Linked DNA regions of Coturnix japonica. The protein of the gene in region 1 interacts with the protein of each later gene in a pairwise test. Links are inferred from orthologs where the notes say so. Each region holds a gene or a part of one and is shown in the gene's direction. Other genes may lie near its edges. The genes, in order: WWP1, ARRDC1, ATN1, SMAD3, FAM189A2 and CPSF6.

Evidence for each region.
Region 2: the proteins of WWP1 (region 1) and ARRDC1 interact in binary tests that used the Homo sapiens proteins (3 or more experiments, as listed by UniProt). The link is inferred for Coturnix japonica from reciprocal best matches to the Homo sapiens genes WWP1 and ARRDC1.
Region 3: the proteins of WWP1 (region 1) and ATN1 interact in a two-hybrid assay, tested with the Homo sapiens proteins (2 studies listed by BioGRID and IntAct). The link is inferred for Coturnix japonica from reciprocal best matches to the Homo sapiens genes WWP1 and ATN1.
Region 4: the proteins of WWP1 (region 1) and SMAD3 interact in binary tests that used the Homo sapiens proteins (3 or more experiments, as listed by UniProt). The two-hybrid records come from large-scale screens. The link is inferred for Coturnix japonica from reciprocal best matches to the Homo sapiens genes WWP1 and SMAD3.
Region 5: the proteins of WWP1 (region 1) and FAM189A2 interact in binary tests that used the Homo sapiens proteins (3 or more experiments, as listed by UniProt). The link is inferred for Coturnix japonica from reciprocal best matches to the Homo sapiens genes WWP1 and ENTREP1.
Region 6: the proteins of WWP1 (region 1) and CPSF6 interact in binary tests that used the Homo sapiens proteins (3 or more experiments, as listed by UniProt). The link is inferred for Coturnix japonica from reciprocal best matches to the Homo sapiens genes WWP1 and CPSF6.

Annotation. Positions count from the first base shown.
Region 1 is NC_029517.1:111,470,460-111,473,959, forward strand, and holds part of WWP1 (NEDD4-like E3 ubiquitin-protein ligase WWP1), read left to right. Parts: intron 1-2,189; coding exon 2,190-2,535; intron 2,536-3,500. UniProt on the Homo sapiens protein: E3 ubiquitin-protein ligase which accepts ubiquitin from an E2 ubiquitin-conjugating enzyme in the form of a thioester and then directly transfers the ubiquitin to targeted substrates.
Region 2 is NC_029532.1:1,142,539-1,146,803, forward strand, and holds the start of ARRDC1 (arrestin domain-containing protein 1), read left to right. Parts: upstream 1-1,465; 5' UTR 1,466-1,568; coding exon 1,569-1,686; intron 1,687-3,504; exon of another isoform or gene 3,505-3,519; coding exon of another isoform or gene 3,520-3,550; intron 3,551-4,265. UniProt on the Homo sapiens protein: Functions as an adapter recruiting ubiquitin-protein ligases to their specific substrates. Through an ubiquitination-dependent mechanism plays for instance a role in the incorporation of SLC11A2 into extracellular vesicles.
Region 3 is NC_029516.1:69,576,381-69,580,589, forward strand, and holds the start of ATN1 (atrophin-1), read left to right. Parts: upstream 1-1,409; 5' UTR 1,410-1,703; intron 1,704-2,062; exon of another isoform or gene 2,063-2,321; intron 2,322-4,209. UniProt on the Homo sapiens protein: Transcriptional corepressor. Recruits NR2E1 to repress transcription. Promotes vascular smooth cell (VSMC) migration and orientation. Corepressor of MTG8 transcriptional repression.
Region 4 is NC_029525.1:17,079,068-17,082,567, forward strand, and holds part of SMAD3 (mothers against decapentaplegic homolog 3), read left to right. Parts: intron 1-2,167; coding exon 2,168-2,361; intron 2,362-2,842; coding exon 2,843-2,977; intron 2,978-3,500. UniProt on the Homo sapiens protein: Receptor-regulated SMAD (R-SMAD) that is an intracellular signal transducer and transcriptional modulator activated by TGF-beta (transforming growth factor) and activin type 1 receptor kinases.
Region 5 is NC_029547.1:31,129,185-31,132,684, forward strand, and holds part of FAM189A2 (protein FAM189A2), read left to right. Parts: coding exon 1-19; intron 20-310; coding exon 311-386; intron 387-2,923; coding exon 2,924-3,064; intron 3,065-3,500. UniProt on the Homo sapiens protein: Functions as an activator of the E3 ubiquitin protein ligase ITCH in the ubiquitination of the CXCL12-activated CXCR4 receptor. Thereby, triggers CXCR4 endocytosis and desensitization, negatively regulating the CXCL12/CXCR4 signaling pathway.
Region 6 is NC_029516.1:32,103,073-32,107,024, forward strand, and holds the start of CPSF6 (cleavage and polyadenylation specificity factor subunit 6), read left to right. Parts: upstream 1-1,152; 5' UTR 1,153-1,241; coding exon 1,242-1,301; intron 1,302-3,952. UniProt on the Homo sapiens protein: Component of the cleavage factor Im (CFIm) complex that functions as an activator of the pre-mRNA 3'-end cleavage and polyadenylation processing required for the maturation of pre-mRNA into functional mRNAs.

The DNA of each region.
Region 1 (3,500 bases):
CAATATCTGTTTTTGCTTTCTAAGAAAGCCAGGAATTGTTGACATTACACAGCTATTGCAAGTAGTAAGTAGTCTTAAGTTTTTATTTATAATAGTACTGTACAGGATTAAGAAAAATGAACTCTTTAAAATGATGAAACACCATTTTATAGGCACTAGGCTAGTGTTAAATTTTGCACATTTCTATCAATGGGATTAAAACTGTAGAGATATCTTAGTATTTTGGCTTCAGTTCTTAGAATTGGAAGCTTATAATGTGCTGTCAGTTAGAAAACCACTTGAAGTGTGTGTGGCATATAGTATTTTGTCTTGAACAAAAAGATTTACAGCTCTACAGGTACAAACTGGCAAGGTTAAGTAGAATTGTCACCGATTGGTGTTGATTAGGGATTCAGAAAATTAAAGCTGTGAATGATATTACACTACTTCACACAATGTCCTTGACTTTTAATGGGGTCATATTGACTACTGTACCTGATTTCTGATTTCACTAGTTTGAGACAAAATCTTGTGCCAAGATACTGTTCTGCTAAGATCTGCAGATGGAGAAGACAGATTCTATAGCAGGGTGTGTTGTGGCAGAACAATGGAGAATGGTTTCAAACTGAAAGAGGGGGAGATGTAGACTGGATATAAGGAAAATGTTTTTTGCAGTAAGGGTGGTGAGTCATGGGAACAATTCACCAAAGATGTGCCCCATCCCTGGAGACATTAAAGGTCAGGCCTGATGGAGTTCTGGACACCATCTAGCTGTAGGTGTCCCTGTTTATTGCAGGGGAGTTGGACTGGGTGACCCTTAAGGGTCCTTTCCAACTCAAGCAGTTCCATGATTATGACTGGTATTGATGCATTGCCAGACAAGAGGGCTTGAGAATACTAAGCCTTAGCCTGTTTTTCCTCCCAAATCTGTATGCTTTAAACCTTCTATGAGATTATGCTTGCTTGACTTGGATGACATTTGGGTTGTTCTTAAAAAGGCAGAAATTAATTTACTTTGATTCTATTGTCATTTTTGTAATTTTTTTAGTTTATATCAATCGCGTTGGTATTCTGGATCTGCTGGGATGGCGTTCATTTTCTTCATGGCAGTTGTATGATGCTGTGTTTTAGATTTATGAGCAAAACCATGCTGATAGCACGGTTATGCTTTAAACGCTGCTGAAGAGTTTCTTCACAACATGAAGTCCTTATCTGTTTCTCATTCAGCCTCTTCTCAGCTGATGAACAGATTGGGAGTGCTCAGGAGGTTGGGAGTGGAAACATCCAGGCAGATGACCTGAACCAACCAAAGAGATGTTCTTTGTCATACAATGTCATGCTCAGCAATAAAAAGGGAGAGGAGAAATTTTGGGGTCGTTAGTCATCTTTCTGCATGGGAACTGGATTACTGTCATTCTATCCATGGGAGGTGGTGAATGATTGCCTTTACATCACTTATTTTGTTTCATTGTTTTTGTCATCTCCTAATTCTTTTCTTACTAAATATATATATATATATATATTATCTCGGCTCACAAGTTTTCTTGCTTTTACTTTTCATCTTCTCTTCCCCAGTCATGCTGTGGGTGGAAGTGAGTGAGTGGTTGTGTGGTACTTGGCTGTCTGTCATAGTTAGCTCACGACAGTTAGCAAAATGTAATTTTTTAGGACATATTGATTTTCCTAAGGATGCTGGGGTGATCTATTTATTTATTTATTTTTTAAATAAGATACACAAGAAGATATTAGATCTGTAAGAACTTTTTATTTGTATGTCTTTTTATTTCTGCGTTACATGTAGTTACTTGGCTCCCAATGCTTTTCTTTCTTGTCATGCTAATCAAGATATTTTTCTGAAGTTGGTACAGCTTCTCAAGTAAGGCAGTACTGTTTCTCTGGTAGTGGATGTTTACTTTTTGCTAATCTCAGGAATAATGTATAATGTTGTATTGAGGAAGGTATGCAGAAACTAAGAAATAATCTTTGCAGGGAAGTATAGAGAACGGCTTGCAGACTGTAAGATTTAATTACAGCTTTAACCGAAGCTGGTGCACTTTTTGTAATCTTCAGCAAAAATGTTACTTATGGCACATAGGTGTAAATTGAATCAAAGCGAGGAATATGTTTAATATAGTATACTTCAAAATCTGACCAAAAAGTTTAATTCTTTGGAATCTGATATGCAAATATTCTTATTTCCCATTTCTCAGTTAATGGTGAGACATCTTCCTCTGCACCAGAAGCTGGTAATTCTTCTGTCTCTGAAGCTATGGTAGGTTCAGAAGCTCCTATGTCTACAGATTGCACTAACACTACAGCAGAACCTCAATCAACAGAAGAAGCAGCTAGTTGCTCTGAAAGCCACACTTCTACGCTATCCGTTGTGTCTGCTGGACTAGAAGCTTCAGCTACTACAGACTGTGCACAGCCTAATACCACAAACAGTACAGCAGCAGATGCAGCAAAACCAAGGGAATCCTCCTCAGCCTCAGGTGCATCAGGAGAGACTTTAAGACAGCAGACTGTTAATGCTGGTACAGAACCTTTACCACCAGGGTATGTGGGCTTGATTTTAACACTATTATTGTGTTTTGTCATAATGTGTATGTGAAGAAATCACAGTTTAATTCCCTACAGGGGTTGCTAAATACAGATCAGTTGGCAGAGATGGGGTTATATGATCTAAAATGAGATTTGTACTATTCTATAACTGGCTGGTAGCTTATGTCCCAGAAACTAGCAGCTGATCATTTATTTGTTGAGACAGTAATGTGATCTAAACAGAGGAATTCTTGGACATTGTGGATATGAAGAAGATTCATTTGATATATTTAAACTTACTTGGGTCATAATTAATTGCTGCCATGGTTCTTATACTGTGGGTATGTAGTAGGGACTAAAATATGAAGAAACAAAATGAATAAAATAGTCTAGAAATTTGGGTTCTTGCAGTGTAGGATTGTAACCAATAATGTGAAAAATACAATGTGAGTATGTGCTCAGAATAGCTAGAAACTTCTAGTTCTCCCAAACTGAAACTACTGCTGTAGTCCTAAACCTTAAATGTAAAATCAAAGATGAGCTTAAACTAAAATAAAAGCATAATATGTGCTCAAATAGATATACTGATCTCAATATAAATAAATTAAAAAAAAAAAACCAAAAACCAGATATCTCATGTTTGGGTGAAAAGATGTCTTCAGTAACTAGTTGAAGATGCTGACATTTTTGTAATAATCTAAATATTAACTATTTTAGCATCTTTTTTAACACAGAAGTAGTTACTTGCTGGAAGTATATATACACTGTGCCATCATAGCTGATATTTCTGAGATCTGTCATTCTGTCATGTATCTGCTCTCTCTGAAACAGGTTCAGTAAGTAATTAGTGACTCTTCTCTTGATTTGCTGTAGATAAACATGAAAACAGGAATCTCAAAAGACAGAAGTATTGTAGATACTTTATTGAGGAAATGTCTCAAGGTTCTTAATTTTCAATTATTTTCACAAAATTCTTTATA
Region 2 (4,265 bases), on another chromosome or scaffold:
AGCTCTGGGTCTTCAGATGTATTCCATGAGGAGGCAATGGGTTCAGCAAAGCCTGATGTAGCACAGGGTGATTCTGCTGCCCCTCACCTGCTTGTGTTGGTTGGTTGTTTCTATGCTGGCAATGTCACCTGGAGAGACTGGGAGGGAGCTGAGCTGCGGGGGCTGATGACAGAGGATGCGGGTTCATCTTACAGAAGGACAGGAGAGAAAAGTGGCAAAACAAAAGCTAAAAGGGCAGCGCAAGGAGAGCGGTGTATGGAAGCATCTGAGGGTGAGCGCCGCAGGAGGAGATGAGCTACATAAATTGTTGGCACGAGCCCATCAGGGTGTTCGTCTCCTGTGATGATGCACAGGCTGGAAAGAAAAAGTAGCTTTTAAGCAGCAGAGGAGTAACGGCCTGGAAGAGCTTCTCAGCAGGAGCCCTGTGTGCTGAGAATACACAAACCATTCCCATGCAGCGCTCAAACCCCTTCGGTGGGGCTTTACCCCCCATAAGGGGACCTGGGAGGCTCCTGCAGCTCGGGCTGGTGTCACTGCAGGGCCGGCCGTCCTGCTGGGTGTGTGCTCTGCGGATAAACAGCTAAACAGCCCTTGTTACGCTTATTCATTCCGCCCGTGTACACAACCTGCTTGTCATCAGCCGGGAGGCCTCTCTGGGAGGTGCCTTTCCCCAGCACCGTGTTTGGTGTTTGCTGTGGAATAAAGAAAAGGTGATTTATTATTTTATTGTTATTATTATATTTTATTTTAACAGAGTTTTTGAAACGGGATCATGCAGCAGAAGTAGCACCAAGGGGGACATACAGAGGGCAATGTGGGGTGCTGGTCTGCTGCTTGACCCGCAGCTCCCTGGGCTTGTCTCCCAGCCCTGGTCCCATGCTGTGTGCCTGTGTGCTTCCCACTGGACACTTGAACTAACTGGGGATATAATAAATAAGGAGGGGGGGAGAAGAGAGACAGCTGGGCAGGGAGAATTACAGGGAGATCAGATTAGAGGCGAGATGGAGCTGGGCCTGGGCTGGGCACCTGGCTCCATCCCTCACAGCCTGACCCCGCAGTTGGGTCCTTTCTTCACATCCTGAACCTATAGTTGGGTTTTATCCTCATAGCCTGAACCCGTAACTGGGTCTGCAATGCTGCCTGGCCCCATAAGTGGCTCCTTTCCCCACAGCCCAATCCCATAGCTGTGTCTTAGGTTCCCCCCCTGCAGCTCTATCTGGACCCATAGTCGTGTCTTTCCCTACCAGCTTGGCCTCATAATCGCGTCTTTCCTTCACACTGTGCTCCCATAACCGTGTAATTCCCTCACATCCCAACCCCATAACCGCATCCCGACCCCACAACCGCATCCCTCCATCCAACCTGTGTCCCACCGCCGCATCCCCCGCCCACATTCCCCCTCCTCTCCGTTCCTCTCCGCCCGCCCCTTCCCTCAGGGCCCGCCCCGACCCTACGGCACGGACCGGGGCGGGCGGAGGCGGGGCGGCCCGACGGGGCAGGGCGGCGGAGCAGCACGGAGCGGAGCGGCAGGGCAGGTAGCAGCGGAGCGGAGCGGGGCTGGAGCGGCCATGGGGAAGGTGCAGCTGTTTGAGATCCGCCTGGGAGAGAGCCGCGTCATTTACAGCCCCGGAGAGCCGCTGGCCGGCACCGTCACCGTGCGGCTGTCGGGCTCGCTGCAGTACCGAGGTGAGCTCGGGGCCTGCCCGGGGATGGGGACGGGGCTCCCCGGGCGGCGGCGCTGCGTGGTCGGGGCTCGGGGCTGGCAGCCTTTGGGCCGAGCTGGTCCGGAGCATCCCGCACCCTGTTGCATTATAGAGGGGGGTCTGGACCTGCCCCTGGGGTGGGCTGTTGGCCACCTTGTTGCGGAGAAGTCTGCAGCGGTTACACGTGTTGTAATGGGGGAAATATGAACTGGTTATTTTGTTTTCCTGTTCGTTTCTGCCCCTGAGACATGTTACTGTGGGGGTAATGATAACCAAAGAGCTTAAAACGCAGCCTCCCGTCGCTGGGAGGTGGCCGTGCTGCCCCGCCGCGGTTCCCCTGTTCTTTAGCACCTCTCCCAAGTGCTCACGGCGGATTTTGGGAGCTTCCTCGGGAGGAAAAGAAGCATCTCGGACAAGTGGAGGCTTGTCTGGTGTTTAACTCCCTCCCGAGCAAAGCGCGTGGGTCTCCTCGCCGGCTGCTCCCAGCGGCTCCTTGCACCGCCGGCATTGGCAGCCGGGCACGCTGACCTCCAGCCCTGCTGGGTGGGCTCAGCTGTGCTTTGGTAGCGAGCAGAGCCTGAGCTGGGCTCTGAGAGACGGCACATGCATTGAGGCAAGAGTCGAGGTGTGCCTCCCCCTGTTAGAAGCTTCTCTAGTGTCCGTTTTGGGCTGAGGTCACTCGCTGTGTGTTGGCTTCACCGCTGGGGTGGCAGTTTGCCACGGCTGGTGCCTGTACTGGCCCAGATAAGCAGTGCACGTGGAGACATGGTGCCTGGGCTCCTTGCTGTGCGCCCTCCCTGCTGGGCTGGTCTCACCTTCAGGAGAATGGGAGGAGTGGTGGTTGGAGCATCCTCCTGTGGGTACAGCAGCAGGCAGCTGGACATGATGGTGATGGGGTCAGTCAGCCTCTGGCACACTGTGCCTTCTGGGCATGTGGGGCTGATAGTCACAGGACAAGGGGGAATGGTTTTAAATTGAGACAGGGGAGGGTTTAGGTTGGATATCAGGAGGGAGTTTTTCACCCAGAGGGTGGTGACACACTGGAACAGGTTGCCCAAGGAGGCTGTGGATGCCCCATCCCTGCAGGCATTCAAGGCCAGGCTGGATGTGGCTCTGGGCAGCCTGGGCTGCTGGTTGGTGACCTGCACACAGCAGGGGGTTGGATCTGGATGATCATTGTGGTCCCTTTCAACCCTTTTTCTATGATCCTGTGGTTCTGTTGGGGTCTGAGGGGAGGTGGCTTCCCCAGCTTGTGTTCTGTGCTGTGTTCACCCACAGCTCCTGTGACCGGGACTGACAAGCAGCTCTCTGGGGAAGGCGTGCGGTGCTTCCCCTTTGCAGGGTCATGCTCACAGCACCCAGGTATGGTGCTTTCTATTTCCTGGACTGCTCTGACGTAGCAAACACAAACAGGCCTGTAGACGATTACTTCACACGGTACCTTGTTTTATGGCTCTTGGAAATTGCCCCTATCAAAGGATGGTCAGTGCAAGCGAACAAAGCTCGCTCTGCCTCGTCAAACATGCTGGAAGTCTTGGGTCATAGGGAAGCTTAATGGAGACACACCTTCTAGGATCATAAATGCTCCCACCTACGCTGGTTCCTTGCCAGCCCTCTGACAGCAGTAATGGCTGTTCAGTAACAAATTGGCCTTGCTGGCCATGTAGCAACGTCACAAATGGTGACTCACCTTTCGTGACCCATGTGGACCCTCTGGGGCCACGTCAGTGGGGCACACTCACCCCATGGCCGTGCCAGGATGGAGGTCTTCCTCTGAGAACTTCTGGGCCTCGAGGGATATCGCTAATGGGAGTCCATGTCCCTAATTGCTGTGCCTCACTTGCTGGGTAAACCATCAAATACCTGTGTACAAAGAATAATGAATCTAACAGGAAGCTGGCACTGGGACAGCTGGGTGTGGAGTTAATTTGGGGCAGGTGGGAGGGAAAGAAGTTGCTCTCAGAGCATGGGCAGCCCTGTTTGTTGGCTGGAACAACCCTGATGCTGCTCAGGGCTGCTGGAGCACTTTCCTCACTGTTCTACTGCATCCAGAGCCATGTGGGTTATTTCAGCCCTGATGCCTATTGCTCAGCGATGCTTCTTGTGGGCAGAAGTGTAACGGTAAATAACAGCTGTCTCTCCCAGGTCACGGAGAGAAAAGAAACTGAAAGCCCTTTCTGGAGCAGATTTCAGTGCCGTGTTCTCTGCTCTGTTATTTGGCTGTCCAGGTTTATGCGATGATGACTTGACTTTCAAATCAGTCCTTTGAACTACAAATCTGCAGGCAAAATATACTGCTGTCAGTTCGTGCTCTAGAAGTACCCAGGTACATAACTCTCCTTTCTGCAGAGCCTGAAATGAGGTACATGGTTTGACTTCTCAGCTGGAAAGCTGGGAAATCTGGCAGTGGAGAAGGGGGCTGAAGGCAGATCCTGAGCTGTATCACCAAACTAGAAGGTCACTTCTGAGTCCCTGTGTTGTTGGACTCTGACACAGGAAGATGTTCCTGCAGAAGGGCTGTGGATTGGGCTGTTCTGCGTAGCAGTGTCCATCAGATGGGCA
Region 3 (4,209 bases), on another chromosome or scaffold:
GGGTCAAGGCAAAGAGATAGGATGAGGAGAAGCATAGACGGAGAAATGAATGACGGCTGTTTGCACTGTGCTGTGCAATGGCACGCTGCCTGGCAGCAGAGCTGGCTTGGGAACCACAGACACCAAGTCCAGCGTGGGCCCGGCAGCGACATGGTACTGCTGGGAAGAGGGTGTGGAACAAAAGCTTGCAAGAATGTTGCTGGGACATTGTTAGGGCTGTTTATAAAATGCTCGGGCGCAGCGGTGATTAGCACTACAGAAAAACCCACAGGGACATTCTTACATCTGCATTCAGTGCCAGGTTTGGATGCCGTACAGCGAATAATGCCCTGAGCCATGTAACGGACAATAAGGAGCTCTGAACAAACACCCACTGAGAGCGACATCCAGCCTGCTCGCTGATGGACGGGAGGTCCTGTAGGGAAGGTTTTGTGACTGTATATGTGAAGACTACCCAAATGCCCCAGCAGGACTCGCCCCTGTGCATACCAAGTCCGTGTCCTTGCAGCACGCAGGCTCACATGGCAGCACAGTGTTTGCTTCTGCTTCCTTCCAAAGTCTAAAGCTGAGAGCAGCACTCGTTCACTCCTGGCTTCAGATGAGCCTGCCCAGAGCAGATGGTGGCCCTGCCGTGCTGTACCGGGTAACGGAACCATTTGGCTCCCCAGCTCCCGTTCCAGCAGCCGTCCTTTGCTTCAACTTTCTCAAGACGGCCATGCAGGCCCTCAGCGAGCCTCAACTTTGCCGACACGGCAGCATCCAGCCCGTTTTGCTGAAGCACAGCGGAGCCCACAGGCGGGCGGGGGGGAGAATTGTTCACATTTTTAACATTCTGCCTGAATTGGAGCCCTTTGTAACGGCACGGCGTCTCCTTTGCATCTTAAACAGCATTTCTGGTGGCAACCAACACCACCGATAGCCCAGGCGAGGCCTGACCTTACAGAGATGGCTCCCTCGCTTCACTGAGGGCAAGAACAAGCAAACGTGGGTAAGAGCGGCCCGCTGCAGCTCTCCAGGGCCGCGCAGGGCACTGTGGAGGCGGCTCGCTGCGTAGTGGGGCCGCGGAGGCCCGTCCCGAGGCGGCCTCCTCGGTCTCGGGGCCGCCGGTGCCTCTGGTTCCGCCGCACGAGGCTCTCTCCCTTTGTGCCGTTGCCTGGTAACGGCGCGGGGGATGGGAGCCCGCCGGCCCGCACCGCACGCTGAGCGCTGAGCGCTGCCGCCCCGCCCCGGGCCCGCCCGCCCCCCGCCGCGGGGAGCCCGCGGCCATTTCGTCTCCCGGAGCGGGGCCGAGCCGCGCTGGCGGCGGCGGGGAGGCGGGGACGGGCGGGCTGGAGAGCGCGGTTCGGGGGTGACGGGGCGAGAGAGAAGAGAGAAGGGGGGGGCTCGTTCTGGGCTGTTCGGAAATGGGAGGTGGCTAAGGGAGGCGGGCGGCGAGCGGGGCACGGGCGGCGGAGCTTGAGAGCGGGGGGCGCGGCGGGGACGGGGGGCGCCGCCCCCCCTCGGAGCCGCTGCCCCCGCGCCGCCGCGATCCCGGAGGCACAAGAGAGAGCGGGGGAACGAGGAGCAGGAGGAAGGAGGGAGAAAAGGAGAGGAAAGGAGAAAAAGAAAAAGGGGGGGGGGAGGGGGGCAGCGTTTAAATCCCTTCCCCCGCTCCTCTCCTCCTCCATTCCTCCCTTCATTCGACCTCCCCTCCGGAGCCGCCGGTGAGTCCCCCTCCCGCTCACGGCCGCCTGTCATTTTCGCCCACTCGCGGGGATCCCCTCTCTCCGTCCGTCTGTCGGATCGGGGCGGGGGGCGCGGGCGGGACGCGGTAACCCCCGTGGCGGTGGGGAAGGGCCCCCGGCGGTGCCTTCCCTAGCGCGGACGCGGCGGGCGGGGCCGGGACCGGGACCGGGTCGCGTCGGCTCCGGAGCGAACCGCTCCCCGCGAGAGGGAGCCGGGAACGATCGTCAATGACCGAGGGGGGCCGCCCGCCCAGCCCCATCCGGCCCCCGGAGCGGGCCCGCCGTGGGGTCCTGGGGCGGGGACCCCCCCCCTCCCTTCTTCCCCCGGCCCCGCCGCTTCCCGGCGTGACGTCAGCGCCCGCCGAGCCCCCTCCCGGCACGGCGAAGTTCGGCGGGGGCCGGGGCAGGGGCTGCCCCCGGGGCGGCGGAGGGGCCGGAGCTGTGAGCGCTCAGCCCGGAGCCGTGCGGGAATCGAAATAAAACAATGCTGGAACGGAATCGGGCCGCCCGCTGCCGGCCGGGCTCCTGCCGCCCGAAAAACCTCCACGAGAATCCGTCCCTCCTCCTGCAGAGCCCCTCATTGTCCCCGCTTTCCAGGTGCGGCTCGGGAGCGGGCAGGAACGGGCTCCGAGCGGGGGGACCGGCGTACGGCCGAGTGCGTGCGCTCCCCCTGTGCTGCACATCCGTGCGCTGCTGGGGTTCGCCCCGCCGCTGCCAACCGCAGCTCGGGCGGACCCGCTGCCCCGCTCACGGACAGAAACAGCTGCCGGGGGAGCGGGGAGCACGCACGGCTCCACCCGGGGGGCGGTGGTGCTCGCACTCCGTCCTGGGTGCTCGTCGGCTCTTCAGCTCCCTGCGAAAGGTGGCAGCCGTATTCCCTGTGCCGCTCCTCTGGCTGTGCCATCGAGTCGGTGGCTGCTTTGCCCTGCTGGCCCGCAGATGGCAGGTTGCGACGCTTTGGTGGCTGTTGACCAGCGAGTAGCCGGCTGTGCTTTGGAGTGGCAGCCATTTGGTCATTGTGGCATCGCTTTTTGCACGCTGCTTTGCTTGCACTTGAGATCTGTCGATCGCCTCCTGCCAGCTGCGACGAGGTTCTGAGGTTGCTTCTGGAAGGGGCAGTGTCTTTAATTGCGTTTGCCTCAGTGCCGTGGCTGCTTGACTTCTGCAGCGAGTTACTTAGTTGCCAGCGCAGCTGCTTGTGAGAATTTGTGTCTTTTGTCTGCACGGTCTGTTTTGCATTGCCGTGATTCTTCATCAATAGCGTCTATCTTGGAGCTAGCCATTCAAATCCGTTGTGAATATATCTCTCTTGGGCTCTTGTACTGGATATAGATGGCATGGGAACCTCTTTGCTTCCTAGCACTGAAAAAGTGAGGGGAAAGTAGCAGGCCACTGCCTCAAGGTGTGTAGCAGCAGAGCAGTTGAATATGTCATTCATCTTGCGCCACCTGAATGGTGGAACGCAGTTATTGAACCTTCAGTTGTGCTTATGCCTAAAGGTTCAGAGATCAGCCGTGTTTTCTCTCAGGAATCAATGTGCTCATGTCACAGCACAGCCCTTCTGGGTTTGCCTCAGTTTCATCAACTCAAGTCCCACCATTGTTTGAGTTGAAAGCGAGTCTCCTTTCCTTTAAGCCAAGGGTGTTGTGCATCACTGCTGTGCCGTACCTGCATCCTTGAGGGAGTGGAAGGGCTGAAACTCCAAAATCATTGTCCCTGCAAAGGACACTTGTGAATGTGAATGGTCAAATTGATTTGGCCTATTTATCTCTAGTTTTGTTATTGGTGTCTCCATAACCAGTCATTTGTGCATTTCCCCCATCTTTGGGGGGGAATAGACCGGCCTTTCAAACCGTACTGTTCTGGTTGTGATTCACAATGGAGCTTTTCAAGCGTGGCTTTGAGGAGTGAATTTGCAGTGCTGTGCCTCTTGCTGGAAATGATAGAACTCCTCTAAACATGTGAAAATTAAACGTGCACTGAGTCCTAATAAAGAAGATCAACAGGTTTAACCTGCTGTGATGGCCCGCCTTTCCATCTTTTCATATGAATTTGCCTCCTCCCCCATACTTTGTACCCCTTGGGTACCTCCAAAAGGTTCCTACATTCTCACCTTTGGATTTGTCTGCAGAAGGATTCACAGTCAAATTTTTTTTGTGGGCATAATTGTATTCCAAAATAATACCACACATGCAAGGATCGATGACTGTACCCTAGCAAGATCGTTATACCAAGAGCAACCTGACAGGTATTTGTCTTCAAGATGGGAGGACTTTATGTGCAGCTGGAACGGATAAAGAAGGTTATGTTCATCCCCAGATTCAACCTCTGTAACTCCATAAATGCTTTCCTTATTGCTCCTTGGTCATAGATTGGCTTGAGTTGGAAGGGACCTTAAAGTTCATCTAGCTCCAACCTCCCTGCTGTGTCTTCCTCATGTTCATCGGCATTGTTCTATTGTGTGAAGGTGGAGTTGATGGTTGTA
Region 4 (3,500 bases), on another chromosome or scaffold:
GATTGATAAAAGGAAAAGCTTTGGTGTTTTTGTCATTCTTTTCCTTCCCTCCTCTGGTTTTGCTATTAGGAGCCATTGCAGGCTGTTGTTCTCTGAGCTGCAGTAGTCTGGGTGCTTTGGAGCAGCAGCTGGGGGTGTTTGAGTTCCCTAGCAAGTGGCTTGTGGCAGCATATAGGGATGGATCAGTCCTAAAGTGTTGGGCTCAAGGGGTTTCTGTTGGCTTCTCATGGTACTGCAGTGCTGTTCTGACTGTGCCACAGGCTGTTGTGCAAGCAATGAAATTCCCTGATTGCACTCCTGGAGTCTTGGCACTTTCCTCACTGGGTATTTATCACTGTTGCATGTAGTGCTGGGGTAACCTCCCCACTGGCTGCTCCTTGGTTGGGTTTGAACACTCCATGCTACAGCCCTCTGTGTTAGACCAGCTTCTCACCAAGCACACCTGAGCGTGGCTGTGGGTGCACAGACCCGGCTGACACCCCTGGTGCTGGAGGGACCCCTGCTCACATCAAGGCTTTGTGTGATTAGTTCCTGAATTTAGTTCTGTTATAAGTCATTGTGAGCTGGTATCAGCTCGACAGCCTGGCTACGTTCTGGCTTTGTTTCTGCATTTCCTTGCAGGATCTCATAGCCGACATGCTCCATCACTGGCGGGCAGTGCTGACTCCAGGCTGTGGATTGCACTGTTTTCTTGTTCTGTCCTGCAGGCTCAGGATATGTGCTGGTTGGGAACGTGGTGAGAGGCTGCGTCACCCACTCAGGTCTGAATGTGAGCGCTGAAATTAAGAGCTCTTCTCAGCCTTAGCTACTTAATCCCATAGTGCAGCATGGGGACACTTGATGTGTTCAGCTGCAGCTGACTGGAAGGAAGAGACAATGTCCCAAAAGAAGTGGGGCTGCAGAGAGCCCAAGGAGGAATTTCACAATCATAAAAATGTAATTGGCCTCCGGGGCTTTGGGGGAATGTCATTTCTTTTACTGTATCTCCTTATTGAGGGGAGAGGGGAGACGGGGAGGTTATTGTGATTGAAAACAAAGCATATGGCTCTGTCATTTCAATGGTCTTTTTAGATAAGATCATAAAGTGCATCTCTTTTTTTCCTTACGGAAAGCTGTGATAGCAACACTTGGGAGCTGTGCTGTGCTTTCAGGCTGGTTTTGGCTTAGTTAGGTAACTGCTTGTAGCTGTTCAGGCTGCCTTCCCCACTAGTTCCTTGTGAGTTGTGTGCCTGAAATGCTTCTTTCTTCTTGGCTGAGCTCAGAAGGAGCTTGTCATGAGAGCACACCTGGGAAACAGAGCTGATAGTGCGCTTAGAGGTAGATATTGAGAGTATTTTGGAGCTGAGATGTAATTGTGGATTTTAGTGTTTCATGCTCTGTACCAGCAATTCCCTCAGTGATGGCGTAGTTGTTCTGTATACTTCCCATGCACAACCGTGTTTCCCTGCTCCCCGCGTCAGGTGCAGCTGGGATCCACGCTGTTTCTGTTTCTCCTTCCTTGCTGTTGCAGCAGTGTTTACAAGAGATGTGCGTGTTACCAAGCTCTGGTTTTGGGAAGAGTCTCCCAGGGCAGCCAAGACCAGCACAACCACTGCTTGAATAGTTGTTTGTGTGGGTTGGGTTGGGTTGGTTTCTCTGGATTGGCTGCCAACACAAAGAACCAAGGGAAATAATTCCAAATGAAATTCAAATTTCCTTTTTCCTTGACCAAAAGTTAAAAAGAAGAAGAAGAAGAAGAAGAAATAGTGTGTTTCACCAAAACCCAGAAGTGTTTAATGTCAGTCATAATGGAAAGCGAAGGGGCTGGATTTCAAGGAGTAGAAATGGGAGTGCATGTCTGTGTGTATGTTAAAAGAGTATCTCTAACCTGGGGTACCTTTCTTCGAGCCTTCAATTTGAGCTCTTCTCAGTAAATTAATGATTCTGAAGTGAGACTGTTACATAAAATAGACATTTTTGCATTTTTCAGAGATGTGCTTTGTGTGACAGCTCGGATCCTGCAGCAGCATCTCAGTGGGTTTGGGTGGCTCTGGGGATTGTCCACAATGCGGAGCCTGGTGGGCCAGCCGTGTGCTGAGCCTGCAGCTTCACATTGCTTCCTTGGTGGGATGAGGTCGGTGATGTGTTTCAGTGCCAGCCCATGTAACTCTCCCCTCTCTCCCTGCAGGTCGCTGGATGGCCGGCTGCAGGTGTCCCACCGCAAGGGCCTCCCCCATGTGATCTACTGCCGGCTGTGGCGGTGGCCGGACCTTCATAGCCACCATGAGCTGCGGGCCATGGAGATGTGCGAGTACGCCTTCAACATGAAGAAGGACGAAGTCTGCGTGAATCCCTATCATTACCAACGAGTGGAGACCCCAGGTACTGCTGACCCCGCGTGTCCCTTCTGAGGGACGTATACATGCATTTCAGAATTGAAGAAAGCAGCAGGCGTAGGGTTTTCAAACCAAAGCGTATGTATTATTGATGATAGTCTCTTACTGAGCGCAGCAGAATAATTTATGAATCTGTGCTCAGGGGGAAAATATCATTTAAAATCGATGAAAAACAAGTTGAGCAGGCTGCCTTCTTGCCAGCTTCCTAATGTGTCCCTGTGTGCCCAGAACCAACTCACACACACAGTAGTTACAAGTGAGGACTGTGGCAGTGTTCTGCGCATCCCTCACTGCTGCTCTTGTTGGTATCTACTATCAACTATCAAATTGTGTCCCTTAATTAATGACTTTGGTGTTGTGTGTATGCGAGGGTGGTACTCCAGACTGGTTACATTTCATTTTCTGGGGTTTCAGTCATTTTATTTTAAAGCTGCTAATCCTGTTCTCTCTGTTTTCCATTTGTGCAGTGTTACCCCCAGTTCTGGTGCCTCGGCACACGGAGATCCCAGCTGAGTTCCCACCACTGGACGATTACAGTCACTCTATTCCAGAGAACACTAACTTCCCAGCAGGCATTGAGCCGCAGAGCAACTACATCCCAGGTACAGCATCTCTCCATCTAGCAAGTGGAGGGAGAAGGGTCACACTGCACAGTCAGTCGTGTCTGCGTGTGTTGAGCTGAATGAGTGGCAAGTCTTTATTTCTATTGTTGCCATGAAGCAAATGAACAGGAAAGTGTAGAGAAGCAGATGATAGCTGTAAATGTAGAATGATGGCATTGCTGTTTCAAGTTTTGTTTTCTTCAAACTCACTTCTTCCCTTCAGTAGGGCATACTCAGTTTATTGTGGAATCTAAAGCTGAATGTTCCCATAGATTTGACTGACGTTCAGCCAGTTTAATTTGAGTAAAAGTGTAGATTTCTGATGGAATTGAGCCTTTCTATTTATGCATCTTTTTTCACAAGCAATTTACACCTTATTTGTATGGGCAAACGGTGCAGCTGCACAGCAGGAAAGGAGCAATCTCTGGACAGAAAACTGTCTACATGGCTTAAAGTTTTATGGAACCAAAAATCCTGATTTTGTTGTTTCCCTCCTCTGTTATTGACTCGTATGCTCTGCTGT
Region 5 (3,500 bases), on another chromosome or scaffold:
CCAGACTGGCTCTGAGCAGGTGTGGTTTGTAGGGGTCTCCAAATGTCATCTGTCTGTCTGTCTGTCTGTCTGTAAGAGTAAGATTAGCAGCTCACCTTGGAAGTCTGTACCATATTCACTGAAATTGGCAGAACTGGATGATAAAAATTGATTATACAGATTAGATAGTTTTATAGTGGAGCAAAGCCCATATAACATAGTCATCGTGCAGTTACATTCACTGCACAGTTCATTCTCCAGGGTGAGTGCTTCAGTTCTTGAAAAGTGCTGGCGCCCATTTGTGTTCTTCAGCTTTTCTGTTTTATTCCAGGAAAGCAGACTGCAAGAAGTGGGTGAGGAAATTGTTGCTGATTCAGCAGAAAGCAGAGGCAGGCTGGCCTCTCCAGGTAGGAGCATCTTAAAGTTACTGTAGGACAGTTCTGCCCAGTCACAAGGATTTCATGCAGTGTCTGGCTTTGAAAGCCAGAGATACAGAACTATGGTTGGGCAGCAGGAACAGGGGTTAATGCTCGAGTTGCAAAAAAAAAAGTACGTGAACAGCAAACAACAAAAAGAAAGAACATGTAAGTTGCTCCAAAAGTAATGCCTCCTGTTAATTCCCATGGAAACTGTAATAGCTAGAAAGAGCACATGAGTGCTGTTTGATAGTGCAAATTCTCAGCTACAAAATACCATTTTTCAATGTGGTCGCCACCATTAGCTGTGCATTTTCACCAACACTTAGCAAGAGCCTGCATGCTGTGCTTGTAAAGTTCTGCACCAGTAGAGGTGATCTGCTGTTGCTGTCACTGCTGCTGAAATACACCACCCTCTGCCTCCCTGTGCTCACATCCACTGGCTGGGCTCTCAAAATGTTCAGCAAGCATCAGCCAGTGCTGATGAGTGCCATTTTTTCCACATGGAGGAGATCAGTGCCACACCTTCACTCCATCTGCACTTCCATGTCAGATGCCATTCTGTCAGAGTGCCCCTCTGCTGCCATCTGTCACGCAACATCAACATGTGATGGGATATTGGTGGAAGGTTCAGCCTCTCCTGCTGTACCACCATGGCTACACTACAAGTGGATGCTGCATTTTTCAGCATTGTTTCAGCAAACTATGGAAATTGCTCCAAGCTGTTCTCAGCATAGGTTTTCTATTTATTGTTCTGTGAAGGCCTTCTTGTAGGTAACGCAACACTTGCTTCCTCTGGGTGCTTAGAAACTACAGGGTACAGAAAATGATATAGGATAGCAAACGTGAGGCTGCACGGTTCCTGCTTTAAATTGTGAGAGTAGAAAATAGAAGAACTATAGAAGAGGCAACTTATTGCAAAGGATGGTCAGAAAAGTTAAAAAAAAAAAAAAGAAAGAAAGAAAGAAAAAGAAGCCATGGTGAGGCATTGTTGGAGGTGTTGCTTGTATTTAAAATCTTCCTTCACAATCAAGCAGACTTGAGCACATTGTACTCTCCTCATCCTTTTAGTTTATTTGTCCCTCCTCTTCTCTTAGTGGCCTATAAAGTGACTTTTAACTCTCAGCCTGGCTGAATTCAAGCAGAAGAAAGCAAGCACCTTGGTAGAGATAGTAAGCACTGTTTCTTCTACATTCCTCAGCTTTGCAGGGACAGTGAATTGATACACTGAGCAGTATCTCCTCCTGTATTACTATCAATGGGTGTGTACCAGGTCTGTACTGGTTCATTTTCTTAGCAGCCTGCAGGATGCTGTGCCCTGGGCCCGGGGCCAGAGCAGTGCTGCTGCCATGGGGCAGGGAGGGGCAGAGCAGGGAGCAGTGCTGCAGCCAGGCTGGAGGAGGAACGCCACCCGCTGTCTCAGCTGATGTCAAGTAACAGTCTATAAATAAAAGTGAAGTTATGGCTTATGCTGGCAGTTTGCTGCACCAGGCTTTTCTCTTGGATGCCCCCACTGGAGTGGGTGGGCAAGGTGTATCTCTCACTGGAAGTGAAGGCTGCCTGCTAGCTAAGGTGCATCCCAGCTGCAGGAGGGACCCTGTTGAGCCAAACAGGAGTTTCTCAGCCAATTGTAATAGGAGGGTTACCTCCTGAGGCCTGGGGGTGCTCAGCAGCTGCCCTTGGTCATTGCAAACTGGGTATTTTCAAGGCACACTCAGCTTTGAACCACTTCCCCTTTTTAACACCTGTAAAGTTAATGTGGATTTTCATTAAAGTCTTGAAATCAGTTTGTTCTTTTGAATAGTATTAAAAAACACCCTCACCAGAACACCAATATCACCGTGTCTAAAGAAGTGACTGCTAGAACAGCTCCACTAGAGAGTCTGCTTTGGCAGTGGATTCTTCAGTCCACCTTGGCACTCAGTCTGCCATGGTTTGTTGCTAGGTCCTGCTTCATGGCTTTCCCAGCTCTTACCCTTCCTTCTTTCTGGAAGATTCTAGATGCATTGGTATAGAAGTTGCTGTTCTCAACAAGCAGAGATCATCCAAGACCTAATTTTACCAAGTGCTTCATTCACTGGAATGAAACAAGGTCTTTGATTCTTGATGATTGATTCATGAGCTACATAACTGCAAGCAGTGTCTGACCTCTGTGGCTGGATGCTGTTTTGTTTTGGTACTTCTGCTCATATGCAGGAGAATAGTAGGCACTGCAAGGTTTGGCTTTAGCTCTAGGAGGACGCCCTTCTCTCCAATCAGGTAGAGATTCCCGTGAAGCAAAGATGTATTTGCTGTTACTCCAGCTGGATAAGGTGAATAGGTTTCTGTAAAAGTTCAAGCAGACCTCAGATGAGTGTTTGTTGTGTGTGCAGGCAGATGCTCACATAGAAGCACTTGTAATCATTACAGCTATTTGGGGAGCAAAAAAAAAAAAACAAACAAAAAAACAATCATCTTAAATGATTATGCTCTCAGATCTGCTTTGTTCTAACTACTTTCCTTCACCTTTTCTATTCCTGCTTACTCAGGTGAAGAAATTTCCAACTCTTCCAGCAGAACAAGCCTTTTGCCCTCTGCCAGCGCCGCGCCCGCAGAAGTTCACAGAACCTTCAGTCCCTTACAGAAACGGTCCAGAAGTGACCCTGTGCTACACTGCCAGCTGTCACAAGGTGACTTGACTTTCTCTGTCCTTGTTTAGGTAATGAACCCCTAGGAAAACATTTGTCAGAGAGGGTTAGCACCCTGAACCAGCAGCCTACAAACACCAGCTCCTGTCTCCTAACTGTGCCTATGTTACAGCATGCAGGCTGTGCTTTGTCATACACACTGCTGTCAGCACCGCAGTTTTGCTTTCTCTGTAGTCTTTCAGTTTTAGGAACAAAGTCTGCAGCTGTCCAAAGTCTTATAGTTTTTACTGCAGCATGTTGGAATCCCCATAGTAGCTGCTGATGTGCATTGGTGCACACAAAACAGAAATGGGGGAGTGTTTGTAATGGTCATTTGTTTTGAACACTGGATTACTCTTAGTATTTTGCAGAACGTGTTCACGTCTCCACTGCATCATCTGTTTTCTCTTTTCCTCCTATCAGCTTTCACCACCGCACC
Region 6 (3,952 bases), on another chromosome or scaffold:
TGTTACAAGTAACAAGAACATCATCAAGCCAGACGTGGTCCTTTTTAAATCTCCACACACAGTGCCTGGATACACTCTAGTAAATGTTTCTTCAGGTGATATTCTGAACCTCTCCAAGGGGCTTTCCAAGGAGTGCTTGGTTTGTTGGTTAGGAAAGCTCTCACAGCTGAGAACAATCCCAGCTGTAGGTTTTTTTGTTTGTTAACACATATAACAGCACAAGAGGCTGTTGTATGTATGTATAATGTGTGTGTGTGCCACAAACTGGATGAGAACTCCAGGGACAACCTGAGCATCTCCATGCCCAAAGTACAGCAGGACTCAGCAGGCTGAGCCAGTGTGAGGGCTGAAGCAGAAACGTGGTCATGAGAGAGACCTTGGTAGCACAGCCTGGTCTGGGAGACGAGTCCTAATGAAGTTTGTTGGGGACAGCAAGTGACCAAATGACTGCAAGCCTTCCAGACCCATCTCTGAACAAGAGAGCACACAGATGAGCAGGTGTGTTCCCTCAGCTCTTCTTTCACACTAGCTTCCATCTGATAATACAGCTGGAGCTTTCTTCCTTTCAAAAGCAGGAGGAAAAAGGGGCCCTGACAGAGATATGCATAAGACAGCAGCCCATACTTTAAGCCTGCGTGATCCACAGCATACCCATTGCTGTGGCTCTCTGATTTTTCACCTCTTTTCTGTCAGGAAAAGACCAACCTTTCCTTTCAAAGAGAACTATAACGCAAGAGCACCAAAGCACAACACGAAGCAGGGATGCTCAGGGCCACAGATGCTGATCCAGGAGCACTCCCACTCACGGAAAAGAGCATTTTCAATCCACCTGTGGTCTTTAACACTCTTTCAACCCGGTCTAGAGAAACACAAACTTCTCGTTGTCAAAAGGCAACTTTATTTTCGGATGAGAAACACCACACACAATGGAGAACACACTGTGTTCCGGGATCGAGGGCGATCCTCGCACCTCGCGCCGCGACCTGGCAGGGGCGCTGAGGGGGAACGGCGGGGCTCTGAGGAGCGGCCCCGTACTTCGCCGTGTTCCGAGGCGGGCTCGGGCCGCTTTCCCTGCACTCTGAAGGGGCGGGCAGGGCGGGGCGGCCCCCCAAGAAGCGGCAGCCGCCGGAAGTTCCCCCTCCTGGCTCGGAAGTGACGCCGCGTGCACCTTCCCCCTCCCGGCAGCGGCGGCGGAGCCGGGCGCGGCTGGCGGTCGGCCCGAGGCGCGGCCGGGCGGGATCATGGCGGACGGCGTGGACCACATCGATATCTACGCCGATGTGGGCGAGGAGTTCAACCAGGTACGGGTCGGAGCGGCCCGGCTCCTCCTCCCCTCGCTTTCCTTTCCTTCTTCACCCGCCTTCGCCGCCGCGCCGCCTGCAGGGCCCTGTGCGCGGGGCCGGGCCGCGCCGCGCCGCCATTGTTCGGGCGCCCCGCCGCAGGGCGGGACGGAACGGGACGGAGCGAGGCCGCGCCTCAGGCCCGGCCCGCGGGGGATCGGGGCTGGGCCGGGCGGGGAGCGGCGGCGCTCGGGGGCGGGAGGGAAGGAGGGAAGGAGGCAGGGAGGCAGACAGGCCGCGGGCGGGCGCCTTCCCTCCCGCTCTCTGTGCCGCCACAGCCGTCCCGCCCGGGACAGCGGCCCCTTCCCGGCCATTGTTCGCAGCGCGGGAGGAGCGGGGGAGCGCAGCCTCGTGCTGCTGGCAGCAATGCCGCCCGCCGGCTGTGCCCGCAATGCTCGGGCTCTTGGTGAGCCGAGGGGATTTATTTGTGTGAGGAAGTGGCGGTGTAACGCGCACAACTTCCTGCACTGCCGTCTGATTTCTCTGGTTTCTTTTTCACTCGCCTTTCCCCAAAGCCGCCTTCCTCCCTTCCCACCGAAAGGCGATGTTGTCGTCGGGTTTGTGGAACATCTGTTCCATGTGCGGGTGCCGCACTTCTCTGGCTGCACTGCCCTAAAACAGGTCCCATAGTGCTGCCTGTGTGGAGTGGGAGCAGGCGGCAGGGTTGGGATACGCAGCTCATGTTACCAGCAACTTTATTTCTTTCAGTATTTGTCGGTAAATTAATTTAGATCGATAATCTCCTGAAGGTATAGCATATAGCTACGCCATCCCTCGTGAGCAGATGACAGAGACATGTGCAGGTTTCTCCCTGACAGCTGAAGACCCATTAGATGAATTTACGTGGGGGTGATGTACAGCACAAATACCATTCAGCATAAAATATAATCTTTGAGGCCTCTGCCAGCCCAAGCTGTTCTCTGATTCTATCTCAGCAGCTTCTGTAGCAGCTTTGGTTTTGTGTTAGTCAGTTCCACGTAAAAAAGTGATAACAAACCAAGTTCTTCAGAAAAGATAGTTTGAATCCAGTAGTACTTGTGTAAATTCGTATAGGGGGCAGGCCTCGAAGTGGTGCAGTTTGTGGCTGTAACCTCAGTGAAGACAGATTTTTTACTTGCTTTAATTTTTGCAAGACATTTCTGTTTCTTCTTTTCTAAGCCTGAGTTCTGGGGCTTTCATGTTGTCTCAGAACCTACTCAGCTGAACTGTATTTCATTAAAATAGAAAGTTGGACTGGCAAAGATTGGCACCTCTGCACTTTCCATTTCCTTCTGCAGAGCAGGAACAAAAGCCAATTGTTACCACCTACAGCGCTGCTACCTCTAATTCTGATGCCATTGTGATGAGTCCTCTTGAAACCTCTATTCAGGGTTTCTGATTTGAAGCTGACAGCTTGAATTAATAGGAGAGGACTTACAGTTCAGCATGGCTGCGGAGGGGTGAAGATTACAATTCTCTAATGCTGTAGGGGGAAAATGATGGCAATTTGATGGTAATTTATGTAACAGGTGTTTTATGCAATGCTGTATTTCTAACGAAAATTTGTTTTATATGTAAAACAACATACTGCTCTTGAGTTGTGTGGTGCTGTGTCCGCTTGCTAGTGTTAGTTGGACTGCAGGAGCCCCTTCCATTAGTTTTGTTGGTAGCAGGGACTGGAAACATGCTGTGCAGCTTTTTTCATTCTTCCAAATACGGTATAACTGTATTTATTAGTAAAGCTGGGACAGCACTTTTGTGTTTGTAGGAAATAAATCTCTTAGGATTCGTGGTTGAGTGAGCCCTTCGTTGCTCTGTCCTGCTCTGAGCCTCAATGTGCTCACTATTGGAGCTCTTTAGAATCATAGAATTACCCAGGTTGGAAAAGACCTTAAAGATCATCAAGTCCAACCGCAGCCTAACCAGTACCCTAACTCTAACAACCCTCTGCTAAATCATATCCCTGAGCACCACATCCAAACGGCTCTTAAACACATCCAGGGATGGCGATTCAACCACCTCCCTGGGGAGCCTATTCCAGTGCTTAACTACCCTCTCTGTAAAGAAGTGCTTCATAACATCCAACCTAAACTTGCCCTGGTGCAACTTGAGGCCATTTGGGGATTTGTTTTCTGCCTGCTTCTATGAGGTGGGAGGATGTTCCACCTGATTAGCACTAGATGAAGTCCAGGTTACAAGGCTGAAGTAAAAACTCCAGCCCCCAGGTTTTCAGGCTGGCTGAACTGAATGAAAACTGAGACCTGTCTTGCAGCCAGCTGCAGGTTGCAAAGAACTGGCTGGCTGGACTTGAAGTCACATCTTTGCAGTGAAAGCACAACTTTCCCTTCCCATCTGGCGCTCATCAAAACCGTATGTGCCTGTGTTGCCTCTTTCATTAACCTACTGTTCATCATAACTGTGTCCTTTGTCCTTGTGTCTAATGCTTTACTCAGTTTGTCTCCCCTCACTTGTATTTAAATTGGTTTTAATTCCCATTTCATTTCCCCCTCCCCTTCTTTTCTTGATAATTTGTCTTCTCAGCTGACTTCCCCATCCAGCAGTGTTTTGTATTTACGCAGTGTCATGTTCTGAACCAACAGTCCCATAACCGCAGTATTTTTGCTCGCATCACT